Linked DNA regions of Coturnix japonica. The protein of the gene in region 1 binds, or shares a complex with, the protein of each later gene. Links are inferred from orthologs where the notes say so. Each region holds a gene or a part of one and is shown on either strand. Other genes may lie near its edges. The genes, in order: GINS3 and MCM3.

The links.
Region 2: GINS3 (region 1) and MCM3 share a complex: the UniProt entries of both Homo sapiens proteins name them as parts of the CMG helicase complex. The link is inferred for Coturnix japonica from reciprocal best matches to the Homo sapiens genes GINS3 and MCM3.

The regions. Positions count from the first base shown.
Region 1 is NC_029526.1:2,062,037-2,078,383, forward strand, and holds GINS3 (DNA replication complex GINS protein PSF3), read left to right. Parts: upstream 1-8,056; 5' UTR 8,057-8,062; coding exon 8,063-8,302; intron 8,303-8,702; coding exon 8,703-8,936; intron 8,937-10,743; coding exon 10,744-10,974; 3' UTR 10,975-12,364; downstream 12,365-16,347. UniProt on the Homo sapiens protein: Required for correct functioning of the GINS complex, a complex that plays an essential role in the initiation of DNA replication, and progression of DNA replication forks.
Region 2 is NC_029518.1:98,083,264-98,099,565, forward strand, and holds the start of MCM3 (DNA replication licensing factor MCM3), read left to right. Parts: upstream 1-8,774; 5' UTR 8,775-8,957; coding exon 8,958-9,038; intron 9,039-9,222; coding exon 9,223-9,335; intron 9,336-9,930; coding exon 9,931-10,139; intron 10,140-10,402; coding exon 10,403-10,533; intron 10,534-11,026; coding exon 11,027-11,265; intron 11,266-11,550; coding exon 11,551-11,659; intron 11,660-12,259; coding exon 12,260-12,413; intron 12,414-12,682; coding exon 12,683-12,814; intron 12,815-13,443; coding exon 13,444-13,652; intron 13,653-14,097; coding exon 14,098-14,272; intron 14,273-14,727; coding exon 14,728-14,854; intron 14,855-15,202; coding exon 15,203-15,353; intron 15,354-15,593; coding exon 15,594-15,734; intron 15,735-15,852; coding exon 15,853-15,956; intron 15,957-16,201; coding exon 16,202-16,284; intron 16,285-16,302. Other genes in the region: PAQR8 (membrane progestin receptor beta), read right to left, coding at 242-1,303. UniProt on the Homo sapiens protein: Acts as a component of the MCM2-7 complex (MCM complex) which is the replicative helicase essential for 'once per cell cycle' DNA replication initiation and elongation in eukaryotic cells.

The DNA.
Region 1 (16,347 bases):
AGAGTAAACTTCAAAGTCCTCCATTGATTCCTTCACACTAAAGTCACCGTGTCCTGAAGCATTACTCTGCATCTCCGCCTATTTTGTGTTCAGATACCACAACCACCACAATATCTTCAAGTGCAATTAACTGGCACTGAAATTGCTTACTCTGCAGCCATAACACGAAGGTCTAGGAGGCTGGCGTGCATCCCAGCACATTACTCACTCTAATACAAGTTGTCAACATCTTAGTGCAAGGACTTTTCTCCTTGTCTGAGTTTCAGAGCATCCACTGTGCACGCTGCACTGCCCACAGACTGTGCTCAGCCTTGCCTGGCAGGGTCAACAGCTCTGTGATGAGCTGCTGGGGTGGAATTTAACCAGTCCAGAACACTGCAGGAGATGAGAAAGCTCCATTCACATTACCCCAGATCCTTCAAGAGCCCCTTTAAAAGTTAATCCATGATGATCACATCCTAACTTCTTTTCAAATAAGAAATGGGAGAGGAATTATAAAGGACTGCATGAAATCTCCATGATTAGCAAAATATCACCTCACGATGTCTGAAATTTTCATTATTTGACAGCATATTTCACAACACACCTGCGTGTTAAAGCAGTGTTTGACATGCAATTGGAATGTCAGCATCCAAAGAACAATATGACAAGCTTGGTGTGAATCCCATGGCTCAATACAACCATTGTTACTATTCAAGGCGAGCCTCAGAAGCTGACAGATTTCAGTGCAGTCCCATTTTCTTACCACTTCAAGAAGCCTCTTAATGATATAGCTGTGTCTGCAGTGTGAATATCTTGGGAAACTGTGGGGGCTGGGAGAAAGTAGTACAAGTCTGAGAGGAAAGAAATACCACATAATCTTCCCATGCAATCTAGTGAAAAAAGAATCTGCTCTAACATTTGGATCGCACGGGAGCTGTATCAGTGTGCATCTTGTCATGGTTTCACTAGCTGTAGGTGTGAAAGAGATGGCACTCACCATGTTTTTGAAACTCACTTAGATATATCAGATGTAAGCAGAGCCTTATGCAGAGCCTTGTGCTTTCTGAGGACCATTCCTGGCCTACATTCCTTGCACATCCACTTGTGGCTGCACAGAACTGTGACCATCACCAAAACTCTACCGTAAGCTAAAATCCTGTAAAAGAACAAAGGTTTTAAGCTTCTATTCAGAACTACAAACGTGGTAATAAACAGATAATGATGCACACAATGCCAAGTGCAGGATGGCAATATTGATGGAGAAGCAACAACAAGCAGACAAAAAACTGTGTGTCTACACTGTATTGATGCAAGACACCTGCTGGCTTCTTGAAGTCAAAAAGAAGGGTCTTGATGTTAAAGGGCTGGGCTGTGAAGTTTCTTCTGTATCTTTGCATATCCTATATGCTGTGCTCATCAGGTTAATAACCTTGATCTAAGGACAAAGATGGAAAAGCCTCAAAAACTCCAATTACATGGCATAGATCAGGTTCTCTGCATTTGTATATCAGACTGACTGACTGAGTGCAGCCTTGTCATACCTCGCACAAAATGTTTTGCAATAAATAAGGGTACAGTGCTTCAAAGTCTCACACTAAAAAGCTGGCATGCTCTTTTTATTTTTAGTGGGATTCTGAAGATAAAGACCTTGACTCTTACAATCAGAAGGGAACTGGCAACCCAGCAAAGACAGATTCTAATCCAGATGCAACCTTTTATCAGGGTCTTCATCTCTGCAGCTGTACATCAAGGAGCTATACTTCATGCAGTCACAACTGCTAGTCTACAAAGCAGCCCAGCTTGCTCATTGACCTGTAGGATTATGATAGCAATGGCTGTTCCTTTGCTTGATGCAGAAGCCACACACTTGCTAGCCTATCTCCGCAGCTCTGTGTGTTGCAGCATTTGTTACAGGAACTCTACTCTGCTGACAGAGGTAAGTGTTGCAAAAGGACAAATAGTTGCCCTGCTTTCAGGTTCAGTGGGTAGGTGCTCTGTCCTGACTGCCCTCCTTCACTCCCTCTGCAATGATGGCTGGAATGTTTTGGAGCTGACAAAAAAAGCAATGACATGAAAAGGATCACATGGCTTCAGGTGAACCTGAGGCCACAGACCTGTTCTGTGCGGCTGAGGCCATGCCAGGCAACTTCATGTGATAGCAAAGTGATGGTATCAGCATGAGTTTAGTATCCTCTTCTGATTTTGCTTTGATCCTTGGTCACTGTCTTCTGGGGCAGTCCAGAGAGCCTGGATCTGATGCTGACACTGCTGGACTGATGTAAAGTAAGATCCTGTCATGAAAACTTCTAATCCCCTTAGAAATTATGGGCCCCCAAAATACAAATAGCATAACCAGAGAGCGGGGCTTTGTTGCAACATCATGCACTACACTAAGGAAGAGGAGTTACAAAGCAGAATGAATAAGACTGACTAAATAGCAGCATGCAGTACGGTATTCAAATAAAGCACAGCACCATCTTAACACTGCTTTCAACTTCATCAAAGGCAGAGAGGAACTGAAATCATTATTCTCCATTAATACTGTGACTTCAGGGCAGAAAAGGTATCTTTTCACACTGAATTTGTTATCCATCTTGATTTAGTCACATTGTGCATACACAATTTTTAATTACACGAGCTCACATCTATTTTTGGCAGAATCTCTGCTTCATTCAGTCCATGGAGCAGAAATGCAGAGGAACTCACCAGAATGAATGACACCTACTAGTTCCAAAAGAGGAGCAGAGACTGAATCAAAATGCATTTTTCAAGACTAGCTCTGTGAGAAAGAATGGCAGAAACAAACAACGCTCAAGAGAAAACTGAGCTTGCAAACTGAGTGGGCTATTATTAAGCTAATAAGAGAAGTAAACAGAGAGGTTTGGAGGAGAGAAGGGGAGGAATTTAGGCATTAACTTGCCCTGCCCCTGAGAGGCACATCTGTAGGCACAAGGACCACAGTCCTCCTTCCCTTAGAGTGAACTGTAAAAGCGATAAAACCGATGCTATAGTCTGGATTGCAAACAGTATTTCTAATAACCAAAATGAAAATAGAAGCAGATCTGAAGTTTACAATCCTTTTTTACCTCACCAAGTGTAATTTGTTGCATGAACTCCTGTTATTACATGGGGTTGGATTCAGCAATTTCCAAGAAATTCTTCTAAGTCACACTTAAGTGTGTAGCAAGTGTTTCATGAATGTTTCTTGTTTGAGGGAATATTGCCACGTTGCTAAAACCTGTTGTGGTTTAGACGGGAATTCTGTTAAAATTGCTGGAATTTCTTGCATTTGGAGTTCCCTAGATGGCAATTTACCGCTGTTTTTATCAACCACAAAATCTCCCTTTGCTGCAGTGAGCAGGGTCTGGCCCCACATAGCAATTCAAGCACTGAAATGTACAAGTTAATGAGTCCTTCCAGTCTCGATGAGGCAAGAGATATCTACACAGCCCAGAGGCTCTCTCTGCTGATAAGAAAACTGAAAAAACAGAGGGCTGATTTTCTCCAAGTCACAAACTGCATCCATAGCAGATCTCGGAGCTGTTCTGAGCTCAGCCTGCACTTCCATACATCATCCTTTCAACGCCTGCTGCCACGCATGCCTGCAGGAGGATGCTGGGGCTGATGACCTTGTCCTGCAGCAATTCTGACTGACCTGGGGCTCCCCTTCCCGTGGCTTCGGTTCATGTGGCAGCAGGGTGATGAGGCACATCAACATGTTCAGCAGCTCTTCAACTAAGAGCAAGGGGTGGTTTGTTTTTTCTCTTTAATGGTAGTTTAAAGTATAGATAAAGTATAGGATACAGGAGAAAATAAAAGCAACAAAACTACAAACAACAACACTCCAGTAAACTTTTCCATTCTCAGATATCACTGCACAATTTGGATGGTGCTATTACATCCATCTTTATCTTCACACAGCAAGTCCTGTACAGCACTGTATCTAAAACAGAGTCAGTTCAATCAAGTGATTTCATTCACTATAATTCATTTAACTTTACTGAATGCCAGCTGTGTCTGTTGCTCTCTCCTTCTCTTGTGTCAGTGCATACACACAAAAGAACTGCAGTATGCTCCACTTAGTCTGTTCTTATCTAGCCTGTCCCAGACAGAAACCCAGAGGGCCACTAATAGCACGGCTGATAGGAGGAATATCATTGGCTGTGAGTTTCTGAAGTGCCAGTGATTTATGAGTTGTTCGGCAGATGGAGCTGTTGCAGTGCACACCACGAGCTGCCAACTAGGCCAACTAGAGCGTTCAAAACAAGTATCTGCCTGAGGGTGTTTGCAAATAAATCCTCAGCTGTATCCAGGTAAACTTATGTCATCCAGGCAACTACATGCGCTTTTAGCAAATTGACTGGCTTGCTTAGAATCTCCTAGAGATGATTTTTAGGCCGGTGGGATCATTAGTATTTATACATTAGTATCACAACCTAAGCTTTTAATTTTAATGTGCAGTTGAAATCTGGCAAGCCCTCAAACCATGCCTGCTCCATTATTAGGGTACATAAAGACCTGCCTTTGCCACAAGTCAGCTTCCTTTGGCTGCCACTGGTGCAGAAATCCATGTTTTCTAAAGGTCAGATGTCACTACTGTGAAAATGGCAATTGTGGAATTGTTACGTTGCAGGATATGCTCTTGGATAACAGAGTGAGGGTTTCAGAATATTCACATATATGTACGTTGGGGAAGGGAATAAAAATAAGAATACAATAATTCAGCTTTCAAGAAATGTTCATTTAGGAGTATGACTCTTTATAGGTTCTAGGAAGATAAATACGATCATAAACTTAGGCATAAACCAGCAAGCGATTCATGGCACAATTAGAATTTGAGATAAATGGATTAATAATCTCCTACCCAAGCATCTAATTAAGAAGAGTCTGCATTCATCAAAGACTTTTGTTGACATTATACATTACTGAAGGGGAATGAGGATTTACTTTCTCCTTAGTATGCAAATTCATTACCATTTTCCCTGATGGTAGCTATACACACATGCAGGAGCCAGGGAATATTACATCTAGTAGAGGAGATTAGAATGCCTTCAAGAATTGACCCCTTATACCCTGTGTGCTGCATAATCTACACAAGAATAGCTTAGCAAGTCTGCCCTATGTACTTTAAAACGCTTTCCCATTTTCAGTATTAAAGATAGCATATTCTGATTCTGCAGCTCTTGGTCTACAGTTCCATAGTTCCATTTACATCAGCTCCAGGCCATCATGCCAGTGCACTGCTGGGCTGATGGTAAGGCAATGCAACACTTACAGTCCAAACCAATCTCTCACCTGGAGCTGCAGCTTTCATTCCACAAACATTCACAGCAGGTGATGCCATCAGTGGAGACAAGCTCAGGGACTGCAGATCAAACCTATGATGTCAGAGCCATGAACCTGCAGAGGACACAGACAGCGTTAGCACATTATCCAAGGGTAACAAAACCTTATGTCTAACATGCTATCAATTCATATGAATCTGCAGTTCATATAGAGTTGTCTCTGTAGTCCAGGATTGACCCTTCAGCCTTTTTTTTTTTTTTTTTTTTGCTGAATTTGGAATATTCACACCCATTTACTGAATTAGTGAAGGGAATCAATACCATCTCTCTCATCTCAGGAAAATGAGTTTCCACAATACATCAACTCTAAAACTTAAATTGACAATTGAAACACGGTGTTTTTAAGTGTGTCATTCCTAATTAGCTCTGCAGATACAGCTATTTTGGTCTGGGCAGTCTGAGCAAACTGTGATCGTGTCATTATTTCCTCCACTAATTGTTAGTAAGGAAATTGAATGCAGGGGAAAATTTAAAAGTGAAGGGACATTTTAGGTCATTTTGTTAGATCTTTATCATCAGGGTTTGACTCACACTTCAATACCATTTCAGATATGCTAACCAGCTCCACTTTAGCATCCCTTGTTGAAAAGGGGCAAGGAATTGCACAGAGAAGCAAGAATCACAGAACGAGTTGGGTTGGAAGGGACCTTCAAGCTCACCAAGTTCCAACCCCCAACCATAGGCATACACAGAGGATTATTAATCAGAAAAGATTTCACTCTTTTTAAGGACTGTCAACTGTAATATTGTAACACTGTAATATTACAATACACTGTCAACAACAAAAATTTACCGGATAGAACTGCACATTCCTTAGCAGATTTCTATTTATGCCATGGAGGTATTTGGCCCTGAAACTCCACTGTGAGGAGCAGATAGATTTTTAAACCCCATACTATGAAAAGAAGGTCTAAAACCATCATTCATCTCAATGAGATTACTCTGGGTTTGCCAAACTTTCCCCACTGATAGTGCTCTCCTGTTACGTTACTGGCTCTGCTGGCAAATACAGGACTACAAGAAAATGGTAAAATCAATGGATACGCAGGCTCTCCTAGAGGAGATTAAAACTCTGCCAAAAATCCACATCTGGGTTTGTGTGATAAAACCCGGCACTGAGTACAGCCCACAGACATGTATTCACTTATAGAATCTCACACAGGATTCTGTTGCTTTGATTCCAATATCCTTGGATACTGAGCTGATGAAGCTTGCACACTGTTGACTTATTGGCAATGAGCTGTATCACTGACCAGCTACAGGGGTGTTCCATGAAAGCTAAGATAGATTTCATGGCATCAAGGAGTATATTTCCTCTGGGCATTGAGTATCGTTTTGTTGAATGGCATTGGAGTGCATGCAACTGAACTGGAAGAGCATCACTCCCATTGTTTCCCTATGGCATTTAATGGGAACTTCGAGATGTAACAAAAAGGAAACTGCTGACATTTACTGTTTCAGACTGTGGGAAGGGCTCATTGCTTTGTTCAGTCGCTTGAGTATATTTCAGGCAGGAAAGGGTCTCCCTGTGAAGAACAAACACAGCATTTCTCTTTCATCCACACCACGTGAGTGTTCTACTTACATCATCACAGCCACCCCGAGACATCAAAAGTGTCAGAGATCCCATCAAGAGCTACTTGTCTAACTGTGGCTATTCACCTACCAGCAAAACTATACAGGTAACAATTCCTTGAAGATCACTGAATCCACTTCCTTATGAACAGGAATTCATGCAGTGAGTGACATTAGGGAAGAAAACACTGGAAAGTACTAGAACTGCTTCAGTGCTCCCTTTGATGGCTAAAAACACTGTCTGCAACACCAATTATAGCATGCAGTTTATCTTCTCTCTTCAGCGTTCCTTTTTAGAATGTACATCTTCCTTACAAATTCAAGCTGTCCTCAATTGCAGAATCTGCTCCTGAGAGCAATATTTATGCATCTGACATAGCACTCTGTTCTCTTACTGGTAATCCTGCTGAAGCCAATTGGCTTACCTCAGTTATTTGCCTGCATTTGCACAACAAAGGGATTGCAAAAGCTCGTGTCACAAATCCAGCATGACATTATTACTTACAAATAAGAACTCTCTGCCACAGGCGAAACAAGCAGTTCGGAAATGCAAATCTGTTCCTGAGAGTGGAAGTGCTGGAGGGAAAGGAGCAACCCAGGCAGTGTCAGGAAAGGATTTAGGGTAATGGCTCCGGCTGTGGGGTCAGATCAGACAGGAGGCAACCCAGCCTTCCCTCAGTGCTCCCAGCCATGTCCCTGCAGTTTCCTCAGCTGTCTTACTTCATGTATTTAATGCTATTTACGTTGAAACAGGCCCAGCTGTGCAGTATGATGAGCTCTCTGCAGAGCCCATTGAGGCTGCCCCAAGCCTTCAGTTCTCTCTACCTCACTTTGCCATCTCACACCACAACCTGATGCACTTGAAGAAAGGGATTTTCTTTATGTACCGCACCCTACAAGAACGTATTCCCTTTACATCCCTCCTTGCTCACAGCGCAAATCTGGCATTTCCATGTGAGGATCTGCCCTCCAAACTCGATGAAGAAGGGATTATTTTCACTAAGCCATCATCAAACCCTTGTGTTTTATTTCTCTCAGTGAATTAATGCAGGGTTTAATAAGGTTCCACCAACCAGCTTTAGCTGGGCTCTGACTGACTGGGCTCACCTCACACAGCACCGCCCGTTCCCGCCTCCGCGGCGGGCGGGAATTCTCCGCGCATGCGCAGCGCTGCCCGCTGGCGGCTGAGCGGGAGAGGCCGCGCTCCCACAGAGCTGAACATGGCGGGGGCGTATTTCCCTGTGGGCCCCGGGTTGGGTCCCGAGGAGAACTTCTTATCGCTGGACGACATCTTGATGTCTCAAGAGAAGCTGCCCAGCCGAGCCGAGAGCAACCTGCCCCGCATGGCCTTCGCTCTGGGCCAGGGGACCGGCGCCGGTTCCGGGGATTGCATCCCTGAGGTGAAGGAGTGCTGGGAGAGCGAGGCGCGGAGCGGGGCGGCCATAGGGGGGTATTGTGAGGGGGGGCGTTTTGTTCTGCTTTTGAGGTGGATATAAAGAGCCGAGTACTGCAGTAATAAGTATAAAACAGCAATAATTAGTGCCTCTGAATAGCGGCTGCTTTATCACAGTTAGAGCTATAGAGCCCTTAGAGTTGGAAGAGACCTTTAAAGGCCAACAGGGCCTGATCCAGCCTGGCATCACCAGCCTCCAGGGATGGGGCAGCCACCATCTCTCTGGTCAGATATATAATAATACCATATAATACCAGGTCTTCACTATGAAAGCTTCCTGTCAGCTTTGAGGGCTCATCCATACGTGTTTTCTTAGGAACAACCTTTACCTTTCTCTCTTCACACAGGGCTCAAAGCTGGAGCTCCCAATGTGGCTGGCCAAGGGGCTGCACGACAGCAAGAGGAGGCTGATCTCTGTGGAGCTGCCGAAGATCTACAGGGAGGCGTGGAGGACGGTGTTCAGCGCTGATGCCAACGTGGTTGATTTGCATAAAATGGGGCCATACTACTATGGATTTGGCTCCCAGCTCCTGAACTTCGACAACCCAGAGAACCCCGAGATAGCTCAGACTATCCTGCAGGCAAGTATTAGAGCTGAGGCCTGAAGTTTGTCTTTGTGTTTGTATATCTTCTTGTTCCCAGTTGCCCAGCAGACTGCAGGAAAAATATCTTGCTCCAATTCAGGTGACTTCATAATGGATTCATGATTTCTAGATCAAATGATATGACCCTTTTGGGGAATGGTGCAGCCTATTAATGTCAGTGGAAGCCTCAAGTGCCCATCCAAGAGTGGGATTTTAACCTGGAGTTGCCATGCTGTAAATATATTTCAGAAAATCCTGTAAAACAGGACTAAAGGGGGTACAGCTGTATTTAATTTGTCCCCCTGCTGCAAGGCAGAACCTATTTACCCTATTTTTTGTTTTTTTAACCTGTTTTTAAAGCTCTCTTCATATTGTCCTGAGCAACTGTTCCATTGCTTCACCATAGGCTTAAACAGAATCTGTTTCACAGCAATACAAGCTCTGTTCTGTTTGCCTCACACAAAGTAAATGCTGAGAACAGATTATTCTCTTCCTTTCTGAAGAAGGCTATTATGTATTTGAACATTGGTTTTCTTCACTCTGGGATAAATGGACCCAATTCATTTGGTACCTCACTATGTGTCATGCTTCCTAACCTCGGATCACTGCTGGTATTTTTCCAGTTCAGTTCCATCTGCTTTGACAGGCAGCATCTTGAGCAGCACATCTTCCTGCTTTGTGCCCTTGGAAGCAGAAAGACTCCTCTGTGAGTTTTCCAGGCCATTATGTTGTTTGCTCATCATGTCACAGCTTTTCTATTTTTCTCGATAGTGTGACATTGACACATTTGGTTTGCAGTCCATAGTGAGGTGGTAAAGCATATGCAGACCATCATTCTTCGTCCTGCCTTTTTGTAGTAAATTACTTCTGCCTTAACGTAGAACCTTGCAGTAGTCCCAGCTAAATTACATCCGATGATTTTCAGGCCATATTTCTAGTTTGCCAGGATTACTTGTGAATTATTGTTTTTGTCCACAGTCATCCCTCCTCCTATTCCTGCATGTTGTTTGCTAACCTAATAAACACAATTTCTATTCCATTAATTAAGTTTATTCATTAAATTATCAAATATTACTCCTTCCTTAGAGTGCTCTACCGAGGGCTTGCTTTCTGCTTTGAGGAGGTGATCACACCTTTTTTCATCTCTTCCTTCTGTTAATGCATGTCTTAGCAAGAGAACCACTACAGCACACATCACTAGTTGACAAATATCAAAGCATGCAAGGTGCAGCTTGTTGAAAGCAAATGAAAGGAGCTGTGCTGTTTTACTTTAAAAGAAACACCACCATAAATAAGGCGTTGACTCCTTATTTTTGATTGGGAATAAAGCCTTTCAGTATATCCTTTTACTTTTTAAAATGTTATGTGTTAGTTGTAGATTTGAGCAGGGGGCAAGTGTTATTTCAGCATGCCAAATGCTCCTCAGTGATGACGTATCTTCTGGTCCATTCACAAGCTGCAGCTTGTCTGTTCCTACAGCAGCTGTTGTGGCACAAGATTCATTCCACTGGTTAAATGAGATGGAGTAGATGCTAATTGTGTTACACCCTCTCGTCTTCTCAAGCCTGTCGTTAGAGAGCAGGCAAATCTAATTCCATGCATGCTTCCTCTCTGCTATATCAGATATTCACTCTGCAAGCTCATGCAGGAAGTAGTTTGTCTTTGCAACCAGGATTAATTGGTGCTGTGTACAGCAGCCCTGGCAGACCAGCTGTAAGCATCTCCCATGTCTTGAAAGGTTTCTAGCATTCAAGCTGAAGCAGCCTCTGCTTTACGTGTCAATAACTCTGCTTATCTTCTTTAGACATTTATTAGCCGTTTCCGTCGTATCATGGACTCCTCTCAGAATGCCTACAACGAGGACACGTCAAGTCTGGTGGCTCGGCTGGATGAGTTAGAACGAGCCTTATTTCAAGCTGGCCAGAAGGGGCTGAATGACTTCCAGTGCTGGGAAAAGGGACAGGCTTCACAAATCACAGTTTCCAGTCTGGTCCAGAATTACGGGAAAAGAAAATTTACAGACATGGATGGGTAAAAGCCTGAAGAACAGGTGGCTGCAACAGAGGACACCGAGATAGATAGTCACAGAAAGGAAAGATGAATCAGCTTTGGGAAAGGACAGATTCCCAGTCCATTAACAGGAGTTCTTTCCTAACATCTTCATATTAGCCTAGTGCAAATCTTGAAGGCAGATGGCAAGGATATTAAAAATAGATCACATCACATTGCTGGATAGCCTTACAGCTTACTCATACCACCCATGAGGATCTGTGGTTATAGTGCTTGCTAAGTGGCTGAAAGGATGTGAGAGGATTTTCTAAAAGGGTAATTGATATTTATCATTCTTTAGCTTCCAAATTGATATTTGCAGTGCCAGATCTGTTTGGAAAACAAGTGTAATTGTTTATATTCCATCCTTTCCATACGAGCCTCCTGGGAACATCTGCTTCCAGCTTCCCTGTTCTTTGGAGAACCCCAGATATATGGAGGAAAAAAAAAAGTGCTAGAAACTACACTGCACTTTTCCCATTTCTTATACATTTAAGTTTAACAGATGCTCTCCATGAGACAGGGATCCCTTTCCTTGCTGATTTTTGTACACAGCATTAGTACTTCAGAGAACGCTTCTCCACCTGTGCAGATCTGAGGAGCTGCCTTGTCTTTTCTTTCCCTTCCAGCCTTTGTGGGATCAGTGCTGCAGGTGATGGAGGATGTTCCCATCTGCTGTGAGTGCCTTTTGTGATGGATGTGCTTCTGCAGCAAACGCTGAGCTCTTCCACTCATTTTACAGGAGCATCAAAAGTTAGTCTGGGCTGGTTTAAAAGCAGGTGCCTTAATGGAATTCATCCTCCGTTATCAACCTGTGTCATCTGTTTCCGCCATGTGAAAATCTACTTACTAAGTTCAGTTGGCAGTGGAGGGACAGAGCAAATGAACTGAGTTTCCTTCCTTCTGATCCATCTGCAAAGTGATTCTAGTAAATATTATCACTGCCAGTAGGAGAGACTGAAGCTGGTACTCGAACAGCCCAGCATTTATCATCCTACCCCTTCCTGCTCCAGGAGTCACAAGGAGACAGCAGCGTTTCTGATGCAAGACCTTCAAGATCTGATGCACCAAGTCTTGTAGGAGTTGCTTGTCTTTGGAGGTGTACCTGGCCATCACATTCTTCAGACTAAAGACCTGCAGTGCAAATGATGCATGGTCATTCCTCTGAAGCTCTGCCCTGGAGGTCATGAGAGGGGGCAGGGTGTTGGCTTCAGCTCTGCTGGGGAGACTAACTGGAAACTGCCTCACAAAGTATTTGGAGTACATACAGGCTCAAATGCTGCTGTATGTAGTAGCCTAGACATTTTCCTGGAATATTTGTCTATTTTCTATTTCTGGATTTTTATGCTGAATAAAGATTTTTAAGGGGGAAGTTATTTGATGTCCATTGTTAGCTGTCCAGCAATTAGAAATTAGTCACAGATAGTGCAGATCTCTGCAAAGTCACGTCTGCAGAGGACAATGTAGTCCTGGTCACCCCATGCCCATTCTCTTTTAGGTGACGTGGTCATGAACTGTTTTCCTGCAGTCAGGTGCAGTCAGCTGTCTAACACACCCCACGTGAGTAGTAGCAGTTTGTTAAAGCCATGGCACAGACACAAAATCAATAGCTTTTATCAGGTTGCAAGTCTGCATTTTCATGGAGATGATTTTCAGCAGCACAGCAGCCAACAGGTGGGAGTTGGCTGTTTCTGTTCATACCCTGCTGCTCCAAGTGCTAAAGCACAGATTGCAAGTCATGTGTCAAAACTGCATCCAGTGTTCCAGCTGTATGGGAAGCAAGATTAACTCCACCTGTGATAAGAACATTTTAGGTTTGGAAGTGTTATGTTAAGATGGTTGCTTTGAGATCTAGTTGGTTTATAACCAAAAATCATTCTCTCCGCAGTTTCTAGATTAGATTTGATGACTCTCTGAACTCATTTTGTTGTGTTTGTAAGAACGTTTCTCATCATTACTGCTGGGTACAAATCCCAAGCAGATGGTGTACGCTTGCCAGTGTTTTGTGCAGCCAGTTTCAGAGTAGGGAGATTGAAGTAGTCCTTAATGTCAGATGTCACTTAGTAACCCTGAGTGCTTAGTAAAAAAAAAAGCACCATAAACCGGTTAAATTTCTGATCCTGCAATCTTTAATTGCTCTTTCTGCTAGTAGATCTGATATTCTGTAGATTTTATTAATTTCTGGCAGGAACGCTTTATTCTGTTTGGAAGCACTTTGCTGCTACTGCAGACACCCACTGCTGCTGTTAAGCCTTCAGGGTAGCTGACAAAAGAATGCTCTGTAATTTTTATGAACACAGACTGTCCTTTATGATTGCGCAGCAGCAAGCTGTGTCAGAGGAATTTGAACTCCTGTATTATCAGAATGGCACAATAGCTTACTGAACTGCACAAAAGAGGTACAAAAAGAGCTTTTAAGTGTCACTGCTCCCCATGTTTCTCATCTTTCACACTGCGGGATTACTGATGTCTGATGTCTATGAGAAAGCAGCCCGTGGACGTACTATACAGCATTGCTACACTGTTCTCCATGGCAACCAAAATTAAGTGAAATTCGGAATGCTGGTTAGTTATGTGTTCACATTAAAACTCAAAGGAACATTCTTATGATGTGTTTTTTAAGAAACCCACAGGCTGGCTTGATCTGGTCCTTCCAGACCCATCTCAGGGCAATGTTAGTCTGAGTAGCTCCTCAAAAGCTGTTTCTGCTGGACACCCTCCTTGGATGCTCCGTTCCATTGCCATGCTGTGCTGTGTGACAACCAGGGTGCTGATGTGCACCAATGCAGCAGAAGATGGAGTCACTTGGACTCCCTTGCAGTGAGCTGTCACGTTGGTCAGTGAAACTGAAAAGCTTTCCTCAGCTGAATTTCACATGGACTTCTAACACACCAGGCTTCTTCACTCCATGTATTCTTCCAAGTATGTGAGGCAGCTGCAGGTGTTTGAGTCCCAGTTAAACACAAAGAGCTTTGCAGTCACCCATGCACAAACCCTCAGCTATCCAAACTGCTTCTTCATAAGAGTTCTGCTTTACTCCCTTGACTTTCATTGACATAAATGAGGCTTCACTTCATCCTCTGGCCTTGGTTTATTTTTGGTCAGCAGAAAAAAAACCCAGCTGTTGATTGCTTCTGCTAGCCAGGAAGCTTTAGACAGAGTCATTCAGACCAGCATCCAAGAGAGGTGGCAGTAAGGAGTACTTTGAAAACTGACATGCTGTAACACCATGTACTACTTGTAGCACAGGAACAATGACATCTAACTGAATTGAAGAGCACGAGCATTCCCAGTTTTGATCTGTGTAATGTGATGGAAAGTGTAGCAACAAAAAAGTAGTAGTGAAATCCTGGGCTGTGGCAGGTGAGGATATACTCAAATGTGGTAGCCATAAACACAGAAAAAGAAAGGAAAAAAAAAAAAAAGCTGCTTACCCTTAGAAGACCTTCATCAAGCAGGAACCTCCAGGGAAACATCCTTGCTCCCACTGCCAGCCCTTAAATGAGGTCTGGGAAGGGGAGGAGCCAGAATCTGGTCATTCAGGTACATTGCTTGCACCTGAGCTCCACTGGGTTGGCCCTGCCTTCCCACCGGGTGCTCCATCACTGCTTCAAGCTGTGACTCAGCATTTCAACTGCAATCCATGATTTTTAGCCATTTTTGGTGATCAGCTCTTAGAAGAACCACATTCAAAATGTCAATTAACCCAACTGCTGAACAGAGATGTGATGTAAAACAGCAGTGGGACAGTGGGGTGTGCTTTCTTTACACAGAGCTGCTTCTGTACCCAGATGTGCTGTTTATAAGAACACATTGTCTGACAGCACATCATACGGCTCAGAAGATTGTGGTTTTATTTAAACATCCACCTTTCTGTTTAGTGCTGCCTCTGCCTCAGAGGTAGTTCTGTACCTCAGTTTCTTTTTCTGATGGTTGAATGATTTTGTGCTCTGGATGGGAAGCAGCAACGTAATTTCTTACAGCCAATATGTTGCCAGGCTTTCACAGCTCTGCTGCATCTGCCAGAGCTCAGCTACTTACTTGGTGAGTGCTTGACAGTGCTAAAAGATTCCCCTTTTCAGAAATCATGCTGGCTTCCTTGATGCATCCCATTAAATCCTTGCTGCTAAGCTTCATCAAGGCTGCCATGTATCTGATTAAATACGGAGAAGCACTTTTCTCACCCTCCATCCTTCTCCCCCACCCAAACAGCCAGTTGGCCCAGCAGGAGATTGGCCAAGCATGGATAGCTGAGCCTGCATTTCTGCTCCATTTGCCTGATATTGCCAACTCAGAAGTACTTGTACTGGAGCTGACAGCAGCCTGAGCACTAAACGCTGAGCTGAATCGTCACTGGGACTTCACACAAACACTGACGGAAGGATAACAGCTACTGTGGTTTCATCATGTCACATTGAATGGGGAATGAAGGGAGACCACACACATTTGAAACTTATTTCTGATGGGTTTGCTTTTAAGTCTGGCTTTGGGAGCTGATCTCCAGTTGACAGAGCATGTTTTGCTTTGTTTCATGCTGACCAGGCAGAGGGATTCAAATCTGGGGCAGTCAGATCCTGTTTGTGAAAGAAACTGGGCAGTTAAAAGTGTCTCTGGCTTCAGATCACCTGTGTGCTGCATCTCCTGCTGCCATGACCGTGTGGCCATGGCCTGGGAGGGCTGCTGTGTGCCCTGCTGACCAGCAGCTGGGAGAGGAGGAGTCGAGCTGGAGATGTTATTTTTGTGTGAGCCCTACCACAACTGCTTGTTTCAATTGAAGGTAGTGAGAACTCTACTGATGTTCTTGTGCCTTGGAGACTAAAGTAGATGGGTAAGTGACTTCTTGTAGTGAGTGAGACTCAAAATGGGTTTAGGTTGCACAGTGGTCAAGAAGGAAGAAGGAAATCGATCCTGGGATCCCCTTCCCCAGCACTGAGGGCTGTCAGCTTCCCAGCACAGGTGCCAAGCTTCCTGGGATCCAGGCTGACCCCACTGCTGCACCACAGCACTGTGCATGAGAGCAGTGTGCTGCAGCAGCCAGCCCACTCCTTGGCTGCATGGAAAGTTACAGGGGGTAGCACAGCCCCAAAAAGCTGAGGCGTTTGTTCTGGTTTTCAAAACACTTCATTAATGTGATTGGCAATGCTAGAAGGTTCCTGAGATTAGAATGCTGCTATTTTTGAAGAGTTATTTCTGATGGCGGGCTGCCAAGCAGTGCCACCGGCCTCTGTAATCTTTCTATCTGATTGGCAGGACACACTGTGGTCTTTTGCCTTTTGTTAGCCTCTCTGAAGCCACATGGTTCCAGCTCTTCACAGGCTTCTCCTACAGTGAGAGAAAACACACTTTATCCAGGTTTTCC
Region 2 (16,302 bases), on another chromosome or scaffold:
CTTGGTTAAGTGACTTTTGTGGCTTAAAACACCCCATGTCCCCCTGCATGGCAGAAGGCAGCTCCTGCTGTGAGAATGCATCCAGCATGAAGTGTCCAGCCCTCCACCCCAGTCCAAGGTCCAGGTTAGTCACGGTGTGTTAGGCAAATAAGCCAGTTATGCCTCTAACATGCTATGCCCCTTTTCTTGATTATTACTTTTTTCCTTCCGTGTGGTGTCATGCCCATCACCTTCACCATTCTCAGGAGTCCTTTTTAGCCAGGATGGCCTTGATCCTGCATCGCAGGATGTAAGCTGTGATGGCACTGCAGGCCACCAAGCCAAAAAAAGAGACGCAGGAGAGATAGATGGAGAAAGGCCTGTGTCTTTTCAGGAAAATCTCCTGCCTGTTCTTGTAATCCAAACAAATGGCCTCCAGCTGCGATAGGGTGCAGATAGCCAGGAAGGCGTGGAAGATCTGGTGGGCATGGCCGACAATATCACAAGAGCCAGGGAAATACTTCTCAGGAACTGGGCAGGAGAAGAAATAAGCACTGATAAGGAAAAACAGTATCTGGTACGTGTGGTACCAAGCAGCATCTTCCTCACAGCCCCCCAGGTGACACACGACCACCCTGTGAGCGACAGGACTGATATCCAAGATGAAGGCCAGCCCGGCTGGGATCACCTGGCACATCTTCCTCATGATGGGGTAAGGCCGTCGGTAGCGGTATTTGGCGTAGCAGCAGCCAGCACACGACAGCCAGCCACAGAAAGCAGCTGCCGGGAGGAAGAAAAGCCAGAATTTGTCATACCACGCTTGGTCGGAGCTGTAGTAGAAGTGGGCCAGGGCACTGCCGTACTGGTAGGTGCTGACCCCGACATAGTCCACAAAGTAGAAAGTGTAGTGGTACAGCTCTGACTTGGACTGCAGCAGGTGGGCCAGGAGGCTGCAGGTCAGGTAGGTGACAGAGGAGAGGACGAAGATGAGCAAAGGCAGAGACCAAGCATCCAGGGCCAGCTGCTCGCCCTCCACAAACGCCTTGAACCTCAGCAGCACTGCCAGCGCCGCCAGGAGATGAGTCCAGACGTTGACCACCTCGTTGTGCTTCTGGAAGAGGCTGAGGAAGTAGTACCGCCAGTCCTGCCCAGTGGGACGGTACCCGGCGTGGATGTACGGCTCACGGAAGAGCTGTGGCACCTCTCCCTCTGGGACGGTGCACGGCATCTTGGGGAAGCCATCTTCTAGCAGGCGAGGCAGGCGGCTGAGCTGTGGCCCACTGAGGGACAGTGTGCTGAGGCGCTCCAGGATGGCCGTCATCATGGGGGAACGTCGTCCTCGTGCCCTGCAGGGAGGGGAGAGGGAGGAAACGTTAATGGGAATGCACTGTGAGAAGAACCTTCTTGATTCTGTGGTGATATTGAGATGCAGACCCTGCCTGTAGAGGCGAAGGGCTTTTCTTGACTTGGCAGACCTGAATACAGCATAGAGGAAGATGTCTCTGTGGTTCAGCCTAGATTAGATAGACACAGAAACATTACATCCTGCCCGCCTCCTTGGCAATCTCATGGGGCACGTTTAGGGCTAGTTGCCAGTAAGGGGGTGCAAGAAGCAGTTAGGAGAGATACCAGAAGAAGAAGAAAAAAGAACTCATCACACATGACTGTGCTTAGACTGAACTCAGTGCTGATGAACCAGACTCTGTACTCCTGTCCACCCAGCACATGCATATTTGCAGGACTGGGGCTGGACTACTAAGCTCATATACACCCAAGTGCGTAGACGTGACCAGAAAATAAGTAAATGGTAATGAGTATTTTGCATCAGTGTGGGAAATGCTTTATTTTTCTTTTGTAGCATCTGCTGAGAGAGGCAGAGGACCAGTCTGAGCGGATACACACCAGGAGGCCCTCAGCAAGCTGGTGTCACCGTATGATGTTAACAATCAAGAGGAAGTGAAAGCAGAGATGGGAGCTGACAAACAGTCCCAGGGTGAGATAGCACAAAGAGCCAAGTCTGAGCAGACTCTGCACTGGCTTGCATGTCCCACTTCCCCTCACAACTCTGATAACAGACAAAGAATTTTCACTTTACTTCCTTGTTCTTGGCGGATGGGGGCTGTCATAACTGACATTACTGCATTTTCCAGCCAGTTCTTTTTCCTTGTGCTTTCCAGGCTTTCTTCATTAGCATCTCTCAGGGCTGTTGGTTTTATTTCCTTTGCCACAGAGAATGTGGCTGCTGCGTCCGCTGGAGCTGCCCTACAAGAGCTGGAAGGGAAGGTGGTTCCTAAAATGGGGTGATTTAGTGTCAGAGATGTACAAGGCTGAATGCAGGGCCCTCACTGAGGGTCTGACGTTGGCAGATTCTCTTTATTTCTCTCCTAAGGGGGCAGAGCTATGACAGGACACGTGCTTCATTCAGAGGCCTGTGCATTCCCAGGGGATAAGTGCCAAAATTTAGGAAGGCAGATTTGATATATATATATATAATCTATATATCTTCACCTCAACTGATCCCAGCACAATGCTGCAAAACCCTCCAGGAAGGTGCATGGGTACCAAAAGCAGTGCTGGGGCTCATGAGGACAAGGTGCAGGGCTCCCAGAGTTCCTCAAATGACGGAGGAGACAGACAAACACTCATGCTGACACCGGGACATCAGAAACTGAAAAACCACTTGGACATAGCCCGGATTGCACAAAGAGCAGGATGCAAGGATGCAGATGGATTCAAGGGGCATGCTGTGTTTTCCACCACCCCTGGCATGCCTGCTTTGCATTCTGATGAGCATATGAGAGGAACAGCAGCATCTGTACCAGGCACAGGCTGGCTCTAACTTGCACACCAGGATTTTGCCACAGTCTCATCTCGGATACAACAAGCATCACCCTTGAGCAGAGCTAAGGATAGACTGGGCACTGAACTGAGAGCAGAGATTCTTCCCAGCTGGGAAACACCAGGTTTTAACATGCAGAAGGAAAGGGGGGCAGACATTTTCAAGCTAACAGTCGGAAATCACAAGAAACGCATGCGGTGCTCAGACAAACAGTGAGTAAATCAGGAATCCGGGCAGGCTTATTTTAAACCAAACTTGTGACACCGAGGAGCGAGAACAAGTTGGCGATTTCCAGTGATCATGTGATGGACAAAGCAACGAGCAATTAGAGAAAAGGGAGCGAGAAGGGGAATAATAACAAAAAGAGAGAGAAACCCCAAGGTCAGCACTGGCTGTTTTGCGTTCACAGAGCCCCTATTCTTTCCCTCCCGCGGGGGTGTTGGAGCAGCTGAAAGCCACATTCATCAGCAGGGCACCTCGCTGCCATCCCCTCCTCACCCCCATCTCCGGGGGATTCACTTCTTTTGGCTGCTCCCAATTAACGGCAACCAAGTATCGTTTGTTCAGGGATGGAGCTGCCAGGAGGGGTGGACAGTGGCCAGGCGGGATCATGGCAGTCACAATGCAAACCGTGGCCCAGAGGAGGAACGATCCCGTTCCAATTTCTCCTCTCCCTTTCTTCAGAAGTAATTGGAAACCCGAGCTTTTTCCCCAGCTCTTTTGCTTTTGGTCACAGTCTAATGGAAGGGTTTGAATGAGAAGATTTCCTGCAGGGTATTGCTGATTTTCCCACCAGCCCAGACTCAGCGTTAACTCTGTAAGTCAGCCTGTAGCAGCTCCATGTATTGGCTCGCAGGGTGCTGTGCAGACACTGGGCTTTACACATGCACATCTGCTTCCAGACGGGCAGCAATGCCTGGGAAACAAAGCAGAAGGCACTGCAGAACTTGAACCCTGGGGAAGACTTTAACAAATGCACTGCATTTATAAAGGAAAGTGGTTGTGTATGGCGTGGAAGTAACAACTAATTCCTGAATTCCACTCTTCTGTGAGCTGTGCAAAAGCCCATCAGGTGCATCACAGGTTGCTGTTTTGGAAAGGTCCCACCATAGATGGGAAATGGAGGTCCTAGAACGGCTGGGGTTGCAGTGACATTAAAGCCCATCCAGCTCCTGCCATGGGCAGGGACACCTCCCACAGCCCAGGCTGCCCATAGAACCATCTATAACCTTGGGCACTGTAGGGATGGGGCACCCACAGCTCTCTGGGCAGCACTGCCACTGCCTTACCTCCCTCATTGTGAAGCATTACTTCCTTACATCCAATCTAAGTCACCCCGCCTTTAGTTTAAGGCCATTCCCCCTGGGTCTATCACTACACTTTCTGACAGAGTCCTTTCCACCTTCCCCCTTTAGGTATTGGAAGGACACAATGAGAACTCCCCAAAGACTTCTCCAGACTGAATATACCCAGTTCTTAGTCTGTCTCCATAGGAAAGATCACAGAATCACAGATGCTTTACTCTCTGGGCACCTTCATGGCCTCCTCTAGATATGCTCCAACAGCTCCTTGTCCTTTGCTGATGTCCGGAGCTGTATGCAGTGCTCCAGCTTGGATCTCACAAGGCCCCACCACCAAGTCCAACCACCAGCCTGACCTACTGAGTCCGATCACTAAACCAGGTCCCTTCATGATGTGATGGTGGAGTCACCATCCCTGGAGGTGTTGAGGAACGGTGGAGATGTGGCACTGAAGGATGTAGTCATCAGGCGTGGTGGGGATGGGCTGACAGTTGACTTAGGGATCATCAACCTTAATGATTCTATGATTCACTGGAGACTCCCCCCCACGTCTCTGGGCAGCCTATGCCAGTGCTTGGTCACACAACACAGTAAAGTGCCCACATCTCTGAATGGCAGCACGGCCTTCTGCTGTGTCAGCCACTCCTCCCACTTCTGTATCATCAGCAAACCTGCTGAGGTTGCATTCTATTCCTCCAGCCAGGTCATTGATGAAGATGCTGAATGAGACCAGACCCACAGGTTTTCCTTCTGACCTCACTATACCTTTGCTCTTTGCCCTTTCTAGATTTGCTCACCAGTTTCTACCCCCTCCCCTCCCCACACACACCCAAAAGCTTTCAGGTAGGTGTGTGATACCAGTGAGCAGCCTGCACCCACCAGGTGGAGCACCCTGACCTGACTTGCTTTGGGCTCACCAGTATAGAAACAAGAGCAAAGCCTACTCCCTATCAATGACCTGTGTCTGCCAGGTTGTTTGCACACTCCTAGCACAGTTTTGTTGCAGCCACCCACACGCAATTCGAGTAACTCCACCTTGCTATGGAGCAAACGGGGTTGAGGCATGCAGGCAGCCATCCCCTGCCAGCAAGCTGTCATTCAGCCACGCAGTGATGGAGTGGGGTGGCTGACCTGACCCGCTTCACATGCCAGCACTGGATTGAGCTGAATGGTGCCACAGAAATGCCCATTTTTTTTTCCCCTCCTCACAAGCTGAAAAGGCAATTTGGATTTGTTTCAACCGCGTCTTGCTTTCACAACCCACATCTCCTCCCATGATGTCTGTGCAGCATCCTTCCATCAGTGTGCACGCAGCATCCCTGGGCCCTCATTGCACCAAAAGCATTGCTGGAAGATATCTCAGACTGAAACTGTTCAGCTTTCCTACAAACAAACCATCACCCACAAAAAGCCCGATGCCCAAAAACATTTTGAAGGCAGCAGATTTTCAGGCTTGGGTCATCAGAAAAATATGCCCATCCATCACGTGCGGCACAGGGAGCAGGGAGAGAGGCAGCAGGCAGAGCATGCAGCTGTGTGCCAGCCCTGGAGCTGTGAGCTGCTGTCCTCCATGCACTGCAAGTCCATATCCCCAGCCTCTGAGGTGAGCAGAGCTGCACGCAAAGCTCCTAGAGTAGATGGCCAATCCCCCCCTGCAAATATGGGATGCTGAGGATTTGCTGGGGGGAAGATTAAAGCACATACGCCTGAAGGACACGAGGTACGGCCACCAGCTTGCAAATCTCTTACGCAGACCCATAAATTACAGCTTCCAGGACAACACGCTCTTTCTGTGCTTTGGGTTTGCTGCTCAGCCTTTCGTGCATGGAATGACACAACGGCTTCAGGCACAGCTTCAATGTAAATACATACAATCAGCAATCCCACAAGCCAGGGGCCGTTAAACAACACCTTGGTGGGAGGAAGTGTGCAAAGGCGGTTGGGCTCAGCAGGGCCGTGCTTCTAGGAACTGTTTGTGCTACATTGCACCCCTCGGAGCTGAGCTGAGCTGAGCGGTGCACTTGGCAGCTCGCCGTCCCCTCCCTGCCCCAGCAGCGAGCACAAACAGCCCCGCAGCCCGCATTCCTCTCCCGCAGGGCATCCAAATGTCCTTTCTCATGACCTTTCCATGACTGCAGCATCACAGTCACCCACGTCCCCATCCTCAGCCCTTCAGGTTGCAGTGATCTCTCAGTTAAGTGCCCCTCCAGCATGGAAGGGAACGTTATAGAATGGCTTGAGTTAAAGGGACCCTTCAAGGCCACTGTCTGCACTGAGCAGGGACACCCACAGCTCCATCAGTGCTCAGATCCCATCCAGCCTGACCCTGGCTGTCTGCAGGGATGAGGCACCACCACCTCTCTGTGCAACCTGTGCCAGTGCCTCACCATCCTTATTATTGACAGCTTCTTCCTTATATCTTCACCTCAACTGATCCCAGCACAATGCTGCAAAACCCTCCAGGAAGGTGCATGGGTACCAAAAGCAGTGCTGGGGCTCATGAGGACAAAATGCAGGGCTCCCAGAGTTCCCCAAATGACGGAGGAGACAGACAAACACTTATGCTGACACCAGGACATCAGAAACTGAAAAACCACTTGGACATAGCCCGGATTGCACAAAGAGAGACTGCACCCTTGAGCAGAGCTAAGGGAAGAGCCCATCCAGCCTGACCTTGGCTGCCTGCAGGGACGGAGCACCACCACCTCACTGTGCAACCTGCACTTCGCTTCTCTCCTTTCCCATCTCCAACCATCCCACAGCACCCACCAACCGAGCTACACCTCCACCCTACAGCGCACAATAAAACCACCTGCAGCCTCCATGCAAAGCGAGATGCTCACGTAGGAAAAACCCAACACCCACCCACAGCAAACAGCCCCAGGGGAGCAAAACCCCCAAACCATCACCATGGACACACAAACTGAACCCGGAGCGGTTCTCCTCGCTGTCCCCTCTCCCTGTCCCCGCAGCCGCCCGCACTCACCGCACCGCACCGCCGTGTCCCGCAGCCACCGCCTCCAGGCACCGAGCGCATGCGCTCAGCCCCGCCCCGGGCTGCCCCACCGGCCGGATCTCGGGTTGATCAGCGGCTGTTCCGTCTCCTTCTGGTCTTACAAATGCTTTGCAACCGAAGCTTTGTGGGCATCGCTTTGTTTGCTCGCCCCCTGACCTGCTACGTGCCTCCCCAGATGCTCTGATCTGTTAAGCTCGGGGTACTTTACACCCTGAAATGAATCACCCGCTTTATTCCCTCCCAGGTGTGGTTGTGTTTGCTCCGGAGATTGATCCCAACAGGTTCCGACTCAGCTGGGCAGGGTTGGGCTCTCCCTGCCTGTCCCCCACCCCAAAAACAGGGGTAAAATGGATGAGAATTGCCTATTATAGGGGTAGGGGGGATGTGTTGGAAGGGCCCCTTTAAGGCCATCAGTCCCACTGCACAGGGACACCCACAGCTCCAGCAGTGCTCACAGCCCATCCAGCCTGACCTTGGCTGTGTGCAGGGATGGGGCACCACCCCTGGGCTGCTGGTTGGTGACCCTACACACAGCATTGGGTTAAAACCAGATGGTGATTGTGGTCCTTTCCAACCCAGGCCATCGTATGGCTGGGTCCTGTGACTGAGGGGTCACTCATGGTAAGTGGGATCCCATCCCTAATGGGTGCAGATCAGCAGTGCTTTGTATGCAGATGGGTGATAGCCAGGCTCGTAGCAGGGGAGAAAACCAGGAATAAAAGGAGCCAGCTGTCACTGCCTTTAGTAACAACCAGAATTCACGATAACAGATGAGCAGACAGAAATAGCAACGCGAAACCTCCAGCCATCTATATTTGGGCTATTCAGACCTCCTTGGAAACACAGTATTATTCATTGCTTTATTTTGCTTTCGCATGACAGGAGAAGGGAGCGACTCAGCATCATGTTGGCACTGGGGGAGCTGAGCATCGGGTGCAGGACCATAGGAAGACACTGCAGCCCTTGCTCTACATGCATTCAGGTGCCTGATTCCTGTTTAATGTTACCCCTGTAAGGTCCCCATAGGAAGAGCTGCCTCCATCCTCGGCCTTCCCCGACCTGTAGCAATGAATTATTCACTCGGCGTTCTCCGTGCCGAGGCTGTTGCTATAGGGCAGGCTCATGAATAACAACAGGCGCTTATTTTTAGCCCTAACTCGTTACCGTGCTGCTGCCCTTGGTTCACAGCCATACCTTCAGCGGGACGAACCCCGCAACGCCGCTATGGGCTGGGGCTCCCTTTGGATTTACACACAGCACTTCCTTCCCAGTTTATGGGATGGCATATATGGCCACCTACGTTCTCCTTGCTAAGATCCCCTTAGAAAAGACATCCGTTACCCCATAGGGAGTCTCCGCTTTGCTATCTGCAGCTACAAGGTGGGGGGGGGGAGGGCAGGGGAGATGCTTGAACCTGGAACGGGGTGTTACCCCAGTGATAATAAGGAATCAGCAATAAATACACTAATTTAGATCCTCATCCCGCTGCTGACACCCAAAGCTCAGCCGGGACCCCAGACCCCAAACGCCCCATTCCCGCCCCCGCCCCGCCTCCTCCGCTCCCATTGGCTGCCGCTGCTGCGCGTCAACTCCCGCCACTTCCCCTTTGCCTCCCATTGGCTGACGCCCGGCGGCGCCGCCCAATGAGGAGCGGAACTCCCCCCGCCGTGGCGGGAAAGCGCTCGGTTTTGGCGCCAAAGAGAAGCGTGGAGGTTGCTGTGATCCGGGCCGGCGTTTGGGGTCTGCTGGGGATCTATAGGATCTATAGGACCCTTTAAAGAGCAACCCGGTCCTTACCTGTTTACTACCCCCTCCCTGCAGCATGGCAGCCCCAGCGGACGGGCTGGACGATGCGGAGCTGCGGGAAGCGCAGCGCGATTACCTGGATTTCCTGGACGATGAGGTGAGCAGCGGCGTGTATTGCGGGATGCAGCCTCCCCTTATAACCGGGGGTGGTCATCGCTTCCCCCCCAAACCCCCCAACAGGAGCCATGGCGCTGGGGCTGCTTATTCCCCAGGGAATAAATGGAAATGGCTTTACACGGCTCATGTGAAACTGAGGGTTGTGTTGTTACCTATGTGTGCAGGAAGATCAAGGAGTTTACCACGGCAAAGTGCGCGACATGATCAGCGACAACCAGTACCGCCTCCTGGTCAACATCAACGACCTGCGGAGGAGGAACGAGAAAAGAGCCAGCCGGTACGGGGGGGGGGGGGGGGGGGTGCTGTTGTGCCAGCCAGCCAGCCCTTACGAGCTTGCAGCCCATTGATAGAGCAAATCCTGTTTGTTTGAATCCTTACAGTAAAATTCGGGTGTTTGCATGGTGTGAGGCGTCTCAGCTTTAGGGTTCTGGGGTCTTTTTGCAAGAGACTTGCAAATGGTTTAAGTACAAGTTGAGATGTGACAGCTGCGAGTTGGAGGTCTGGGTTGGATATTAGGAACAATCTCTTGTCATGAGGAGCAGTGATGCAGTGGCACAGCTGCCCAGGGAGGTGGTTATGGAGCACCCCCATGGATGGTGACCCCACCATGGGGATGTGGCACTGAAGGACACAGTGGGCACAGGGGGGTTGGGCTGGGTGACTGTAGAGGTATTTCCAACCTTAATGATCCCCTGTTAGGTGTTTCAGATGTAATTGGGTTTGTTCACCTTCAGGCTCTTGGTCTCCATGAGCTGTGGGATTCTCAGTGTTCTTTCAGAGCACACCGAGGCATCTGGAAGGGATTTCTTAGAGCTGCCAAACAGGGTTGCCAACAAGATGCAGCTCTCAGCCATCACCTCCCTCTGTTGCAGGCTTTTGAGCAATGCCTTTGAGGAGCTCATCGCCTTCCAGCGTGCTCTGAAGGACTTTGTTGCCTCTGTTGATGCCACCTATGCCAAGCAGTATGAGGACTTCTACATTGGGCTGGAGGGCAGCTTTGGTTCCAAGCACGTCTCACCACGGACGCTGACCGCCTGCTTCCTGAGCTGCATTGTTTGTGTGGAGGGCATCGTGACAAAGTGTGAGCCTGGGGGCAGGTTGGGATGCTGGGTGGTGTGAGGAGCAGAGGGTCGGGGTGTTTGGTACAGCAGGAGTCCTCCAGAACCAATGGGAGGACAAGTGGAGTGATGGTAACAGTGGACTTGAATGTTGGGAGCTGCAGTCCTTGGCACTCTGGTTATCAGCACTTTTGTCCTGTGCATATAGTGGATATCTTTTTGGGGTTTCATGGTGACAAACAAGTGGGACTTTTCTGCCCCTAACTCTTCTTTCTTCCAAACCCAGGCTCTCTGATTCGTCCCAAGGTTGTCCGGAGCGTCCATTATTGCCCAGCTACCAAGAAGACCATTGAGCGCCGATACACAGACCTGACATCCCTGGATGCTTTCCCTTCCAGCTCTGTTTACCCTACAAAGGTGAGGTGAAGCGGCCTCATATGGGGAATATCTGCATGTTCCTCTGGGGAGAATATGCTGGCTCAGCAGGCAACATGATCAGCTGTTGGTTGGCATGCTTGTATGTGGCAAGGGGATTGAAACTAGATTGTCTTTAGGGTTTCTTCCAATGCAAACCATTCCAGCATCCCATGGTTGCTGTCTGGAGGGTATGTGGACCATTGTGTGCAGGGATTGCCCTGTGCTTGGGAATGGAGGAAGCTTGACCTAAGCTATGTCTGTTGAACGTGCATTCTTTTGCATGGCCTGCCTGCATTGGGAGCAGTGCTTGGAGGGTTCTAATGTGGCAGTGCTTGATGCTGGCAGCATTAGATCAGGGGGAGCTGTATTGCTGGTGAACTGCAGGATCTGGTAGTCCAGGTAAAGCAGCCCTTTGCAGTGCTCATGTGTGTGTTGGGTGATGCTCTCTTCCCAGTGCTGCTAATCTCTTTATTGCTGTGCCTTCTTCCTTAAGGATGAGGAGAATAACCCCCTGGAGACAGAGTTTGGCCTCTCAGTCTACAAGGACCATCAGACCATCTCCATCCAGGAGATGCCTGAGAAGGCACCAGCAGGGCAGCTGCCACGCTCGGTGGATGTCATTCTGGATGATGATCTGGTGGACAAAGTGAAGCCTGGAGATCGCATTCAAGTGGTTGGGACTTATCGTTGCCTGCCAGGAAAGAAAGGAGGTTACACATCAGGGACGTTCAGGTGAGCCTTCTGCTGGCTTCAAGGACAACATCAGCCTTGACACCCCTTTTTAGCAGGGTCCCATCCCTCTAAGATGAAACATAGGGCAGGTTGGATGGGGCTGTGAGCAACCTGGTCTCGAGGGAGGTGCCCCTGCATATAGCAGGAGGTTGAAACTGGGTGATCTTAAAGATCCCTTCCAACACAAACCATTCTATGGTTCTATGAAACTTCTGCTGTTGTTATGATGACCCTGAAAGCTCTATGAGCTTCACAAACATCATTGTAGCTGTGTCGCTATTCCAGGACTATCCTCATTGCCTGCCATATCAAGCAGATGAGCAAAGATTCTCGGCCTCTCTACTCTGCGACTGACGTGGCCAAGATCAAGAGGTTCAGTAAGAATCGCTCCAAGGTATTTATGTAGGTCTTATTTCTAAGCTCGCCTTCCATGATTTTCCTCTTGCTTTCCCTGCATTTTCTACGTAGCTTTTTGTCAATTTCTGTGATATATGTATGTATACATATGTATTACATGTAGCTGTAGCAGAGTTTCTGATGGCTCTGCTCTGTTGTGCGTAGCTGTTGAAATGGAGCTCTGTCTGGGCTGTGTGTGCCCTGACTGCTCGCTGGTTGTTAGAGAAGCTCCTCTGCAACGTTCTACTTTTCCTCCTCAAACCTAAGAACGGAATTAGATGACAGCCTGGATTTCTGAAAGGAAACAAAGCAAAATGCCAGTTCTTTTGGTTGGGGGAGGGAATGGGGGCCTGCCCCCCAGTCTGGTCCTGTGTTCAGATCTTTGTTCTTGTGGGGGTTGCTGCTTCCAGTGCTTGCGAGGTGGTCTAGGACTTCAGAGCCCCCATGGAAAGAATATTCCAACAGTATTCTCCCATCTAAATAACCTCTGTCAGTGTAGTTCTGTGATAGGAATAAGTTCCTTTTCTGGTGCTGTAATGGGCTTGTGAACTTGTTCTTCGGTCCACTTACAGGCTGTGCTTTGCCTCTTCTGCCTTAGGATATCTTTAACCAGCTGGCGAGGTCCCTGGCACCCAGCATCCACGGGCACGAGTTCATCAAGAAGGCCATTCTGTGCATGCTTCTTGGAGGGGTGGAGAAGGTCCTGGAGAATGGGAGCCGCATCCGAGGAGACATCAACATCTTGCTGATAGGTGTGGAGAGGCAGAGCAGAGGCAGCTGAGGCTGATGCTGTGGGAGTGAGATGAGGCTGTTCAAACAGAACTTCCCATGATCCATGTCACCTCTTCTCCCATCACTATACGTATCTTAAAACCCTGGCTCCATCTTCTCCCCATCAGGATGATGGAGAACGTGATCCACTCACCTTCTGCTCTGAAGAATGAACGACCCAATTCGTTGTCACGTGTATTCATTTCCCTGCTAACACTGTGTTTGCTAAACACATTCTTCTCTCTTCCAGGTGACCCTTCCGTTGCCAAATCCCAGCTGCTGCGCTATGTGCTGAGCACTGCTCCCCGTGCCATTGGCACTACTGGCAGGGGCTCCTCTGGTGTTGGTCTGACTGCTGCTGTCACCACTGACCAAGAAACCGGTAAGGAATGTTCTGGTTCCCAGTGGGAGCTGGTGGACGGATGGTAGTTAATCCTTGGGATGGACTCTGCAAGGTCCGGGCCTGTTTGTCCTTCTTGTAGAGGCAATTACAGGACCTGCTTTGTTACAAGCTTTGAAGCAATGATGGTGGGGGTGTTTTCTCTATCTTTGGTGGTCTTTAGTTCTACTGGGTGTACCCCATATGGGGTTGGTGGGCAGTCAGGAGCCCATGTCATTTCTTCTTCTTCAGTGTTCTCCTGCCATTACATTGGGTGAGAGATCATATAATCATAGAATGAATCATAGAATGGCCTGGGTTGCAAAGGCCCACAGTGCTCATCCAGTTCCAACCCCCTGCTGTGTGCAGGGTCACCAACCAGCAGCCCAGGCTGCCCAGAGCCACATCCAGCCTGGCCTTGAATGCCTGCAGGGATGGGGCATCCACAGCCTCCTTGGGCAACCTGTTCAGTGCGTCACCACCCTCTGGGTGAAAAACCTCCTCCTAAAGTGGTTGTCCCTGAGGCTGATGATCCTCCTCACAGGGATGCTGCTGCAGTGGAATGAGACAGTAGGAGACACTCAGGGCTGCAGAACAACACTGACCTTCTTTTCTCTGCCCTCCCATCCCAGGTGAACGGCATCTGGAAGCAGGGGCCATGGTGTTGGCTGACAGGGGTGTGGTGTGCATCGATGAGTTCGACAAGATGTCTGACATTGACCGCACGGCCATCCATGAGGTGATGGAGCAGGGCCGTGTCACCATCGCCAAGGCTGGCATCCACGCTCGCCTCAACTCTCGCTGCAGCGTCCTGGCAGCTGCCAACCCCGTCTATGGCCGGGTGAGTGCTGGTTTCTGCTGCTTCCCCCCATATGGGGGCTGCTAGGAGCTGTCCTTGATGAAGATAAAATCCAAATGATCTCCCAGACTTGCTTCTTAGTGGAACTGAGGTGCTGGAAGACTTGTTTTGCTTGGCTACTGCTGCTTCTCATGGGTATCATGAAGGTTGTGGGGGCCCTGTCCAACATGGCCTTGAACACCCCCAAGGATGGGGCATAAAATAAGATAAAATTGCATACTTGCAAATGAGAGCTACACTCATCTTCCTGAGTGGAGTAAAGAGGCTTTACTCCTTGAGCAGGCTGTGTTTAGCATGGTGTCTTTGGTGTTCAGCTGTCTGTGCATCTACCTTGAAGGCCTGGCTTGAGAGGGTCTTTCCACCCTCCCTAGCAGCCAGCAGTGACCCATGAGATTCTCTTGTAATCCCTTTCTTCAACCTCTTGTAGTATGACCAGTACAAGACTCCCATGGAGAACATTGGCCTGCAGGACTCCTTGCTCTCCCGCTTCGACCTGCTCTTCATCATGCTGGACCAGATGGATGCTGAGCAGGACAGGGAGATCTCAGATCACGTCCTGCGAATGCACCGCTACCGCAACCCCAATGAGCAGGATGGGGATGGTGAGCTGTTCTTGCTGTATATAAAGCCCAGGAGTTACAGGTTTTCTTTGGCTGTTGTTGCTTCCCTTTCCCTTCAAGCAATGGTAAAGTCCTTGGCCTGGACCCTATGGCAGGTGGGGTTGAAACAAGGTGATCATTATGGTCCTTTTTAACCGAGGCCGTTCTGTGATTCTGTAATTCCCTTGTCCTCACTGCTGAGCTGTGACCTTGAAGCAGAGTGTCCATCTCTCCTTTGTAGCTGGTGCCCATCTGTCCTGGATAGCTGTGGTTGAGGTGATGGGGTAGTAGATGGGGGTGGGCTTCTTACACGGTGACACTGTGACACAACCCCAGGCTTCCAGGTTGTCGCTTGTTAGCAGCTGTTTGGGTTCAGTTGTCCGTGGCTTTGCTGAGTGCTGCCAGTAGGTGGCTGTGAGAAGCTAAAATCCTGTTCTTGGCAACCCTTCCCTCTCCAGCCATGCCCCTGGGCAGCGCCGTGGAGATGCTGGCTACGGATGACCCTGATTTCGCACAGGAGGAGGAACAGGAGCTCCAAGTGTATGAGAAACACGATGACCTCCTTCATGGACCCAACCGACGCAAGTGAGTCTCCTGTCCTTGTGCCGTGAAGCTCTCCGGGGTTTTCGATGGTGATGAGCTGATGTTAAAATACTCTTGGTTTGGTTGGAGCAGCAGGGTGTTGGCTCATTTTTGGGGACAGTGATGCTGTAGATTGTCCAGCAAGGTGTGTGGGTGGGCTGCAAAGGGGGCCTGCTTTGGGTGCACTGTTCTCAAACACCAGGCAGATGGGAGAACATCTTGAGCACAGCTCTGCATTGTAACTGGATGCTCCTAAGAATAGCACTCTCCCTGGGTGCAGCCTGTACGTGCCCTCTGCTTATCCCCTTGATGTTCCCATCAAGAACATGGGCATGTGTGCATCCCCTGCAGGGAGAAGATCGTCAGCATGGAGTTCATGAGGAAGTACATCCACGTGGCAAAAATGATCAAGCCTGTCTTGACCCAGGAGTCAGCAGATTACATAGCAGAGGAGTACTCACGCCTGCGCAGCCAGAACCAGATGAACTCGGACATTGCCAGGGTGAGCTCCCTCTTCCCTCTGATCACACCAGGAGAGAAACTGAGGCACATGCTTCTCTTTCGCATTACAGGTGTTTTCCTCCCTCAGTCACAGAGTGGTTGAGGTTGGAAGGGGAGCTGTGGATGTGAGCTCTCAGTGTTACAAACAGGGGTGAACCAGATGCTGGTGTTAATGCTACAGTGGGGGTCCAGCATGGTCTCGTGAGCTCCAGTGTCTCACCACCATCTTTCTGCCCTCCAGACTTCCCCTGTCACAGCCCGTACCCTGGAGACATTGATCCGCCTCTCCACAGCCCATGCTAAGGCCAGGATGAACAAGACAATTGATCTGCAGGATGCGGAGGCAGCTTTGGAGCTGGTGCAGTTTGCCTACTTCAAAAAGGTGGGAGAAAGGTTGTGGGGTCCCATTCAACCCCCTGCTATGTGCAGGGTTGCCAGGCATCAGACCAGGCTGCCCAGAGCCACATCCAGCCTGGCCTTAAATGCAATATCTTATGCAGGTACTGGAAAAGGAGAAGAAGCGCAAAAAGCAGGCGGAGGATGACTCAGAGACCGAGAAGGAGGAGGAGGAGACGCAGCCTCAGAAGGAGGGCAGGAAGCAAAGGTAGTCATGGCAGGCCTTGGGGAGATAGCTGTGTTAAATCCTGTGGGTCTTTTGGGTGACACTTGTAATGCTGGAGCCTCTGGGAAAAGCTCCCAAATTTCAGGGTTTGTGGATGAGGTCTGAGTTTACCCACAAGCTACAGCTGCCCTGTCTTGTCCTGGCCAGACACTTCCAGGAGCCCTGGGGGTATCTCTTGAGGTCTGTCCTTTGGTGAATCAGGGCTGACCTCCTCTTCTCCCACCCAGGAGGAAGAAGGCACGCACAGAGGGCGAGGAGGAGTCCTACGACCCCTATGACTTCAGTGATGCCGAGCAGGAGATGCCAGAGGGTGAGTCAGGGCTTTCAG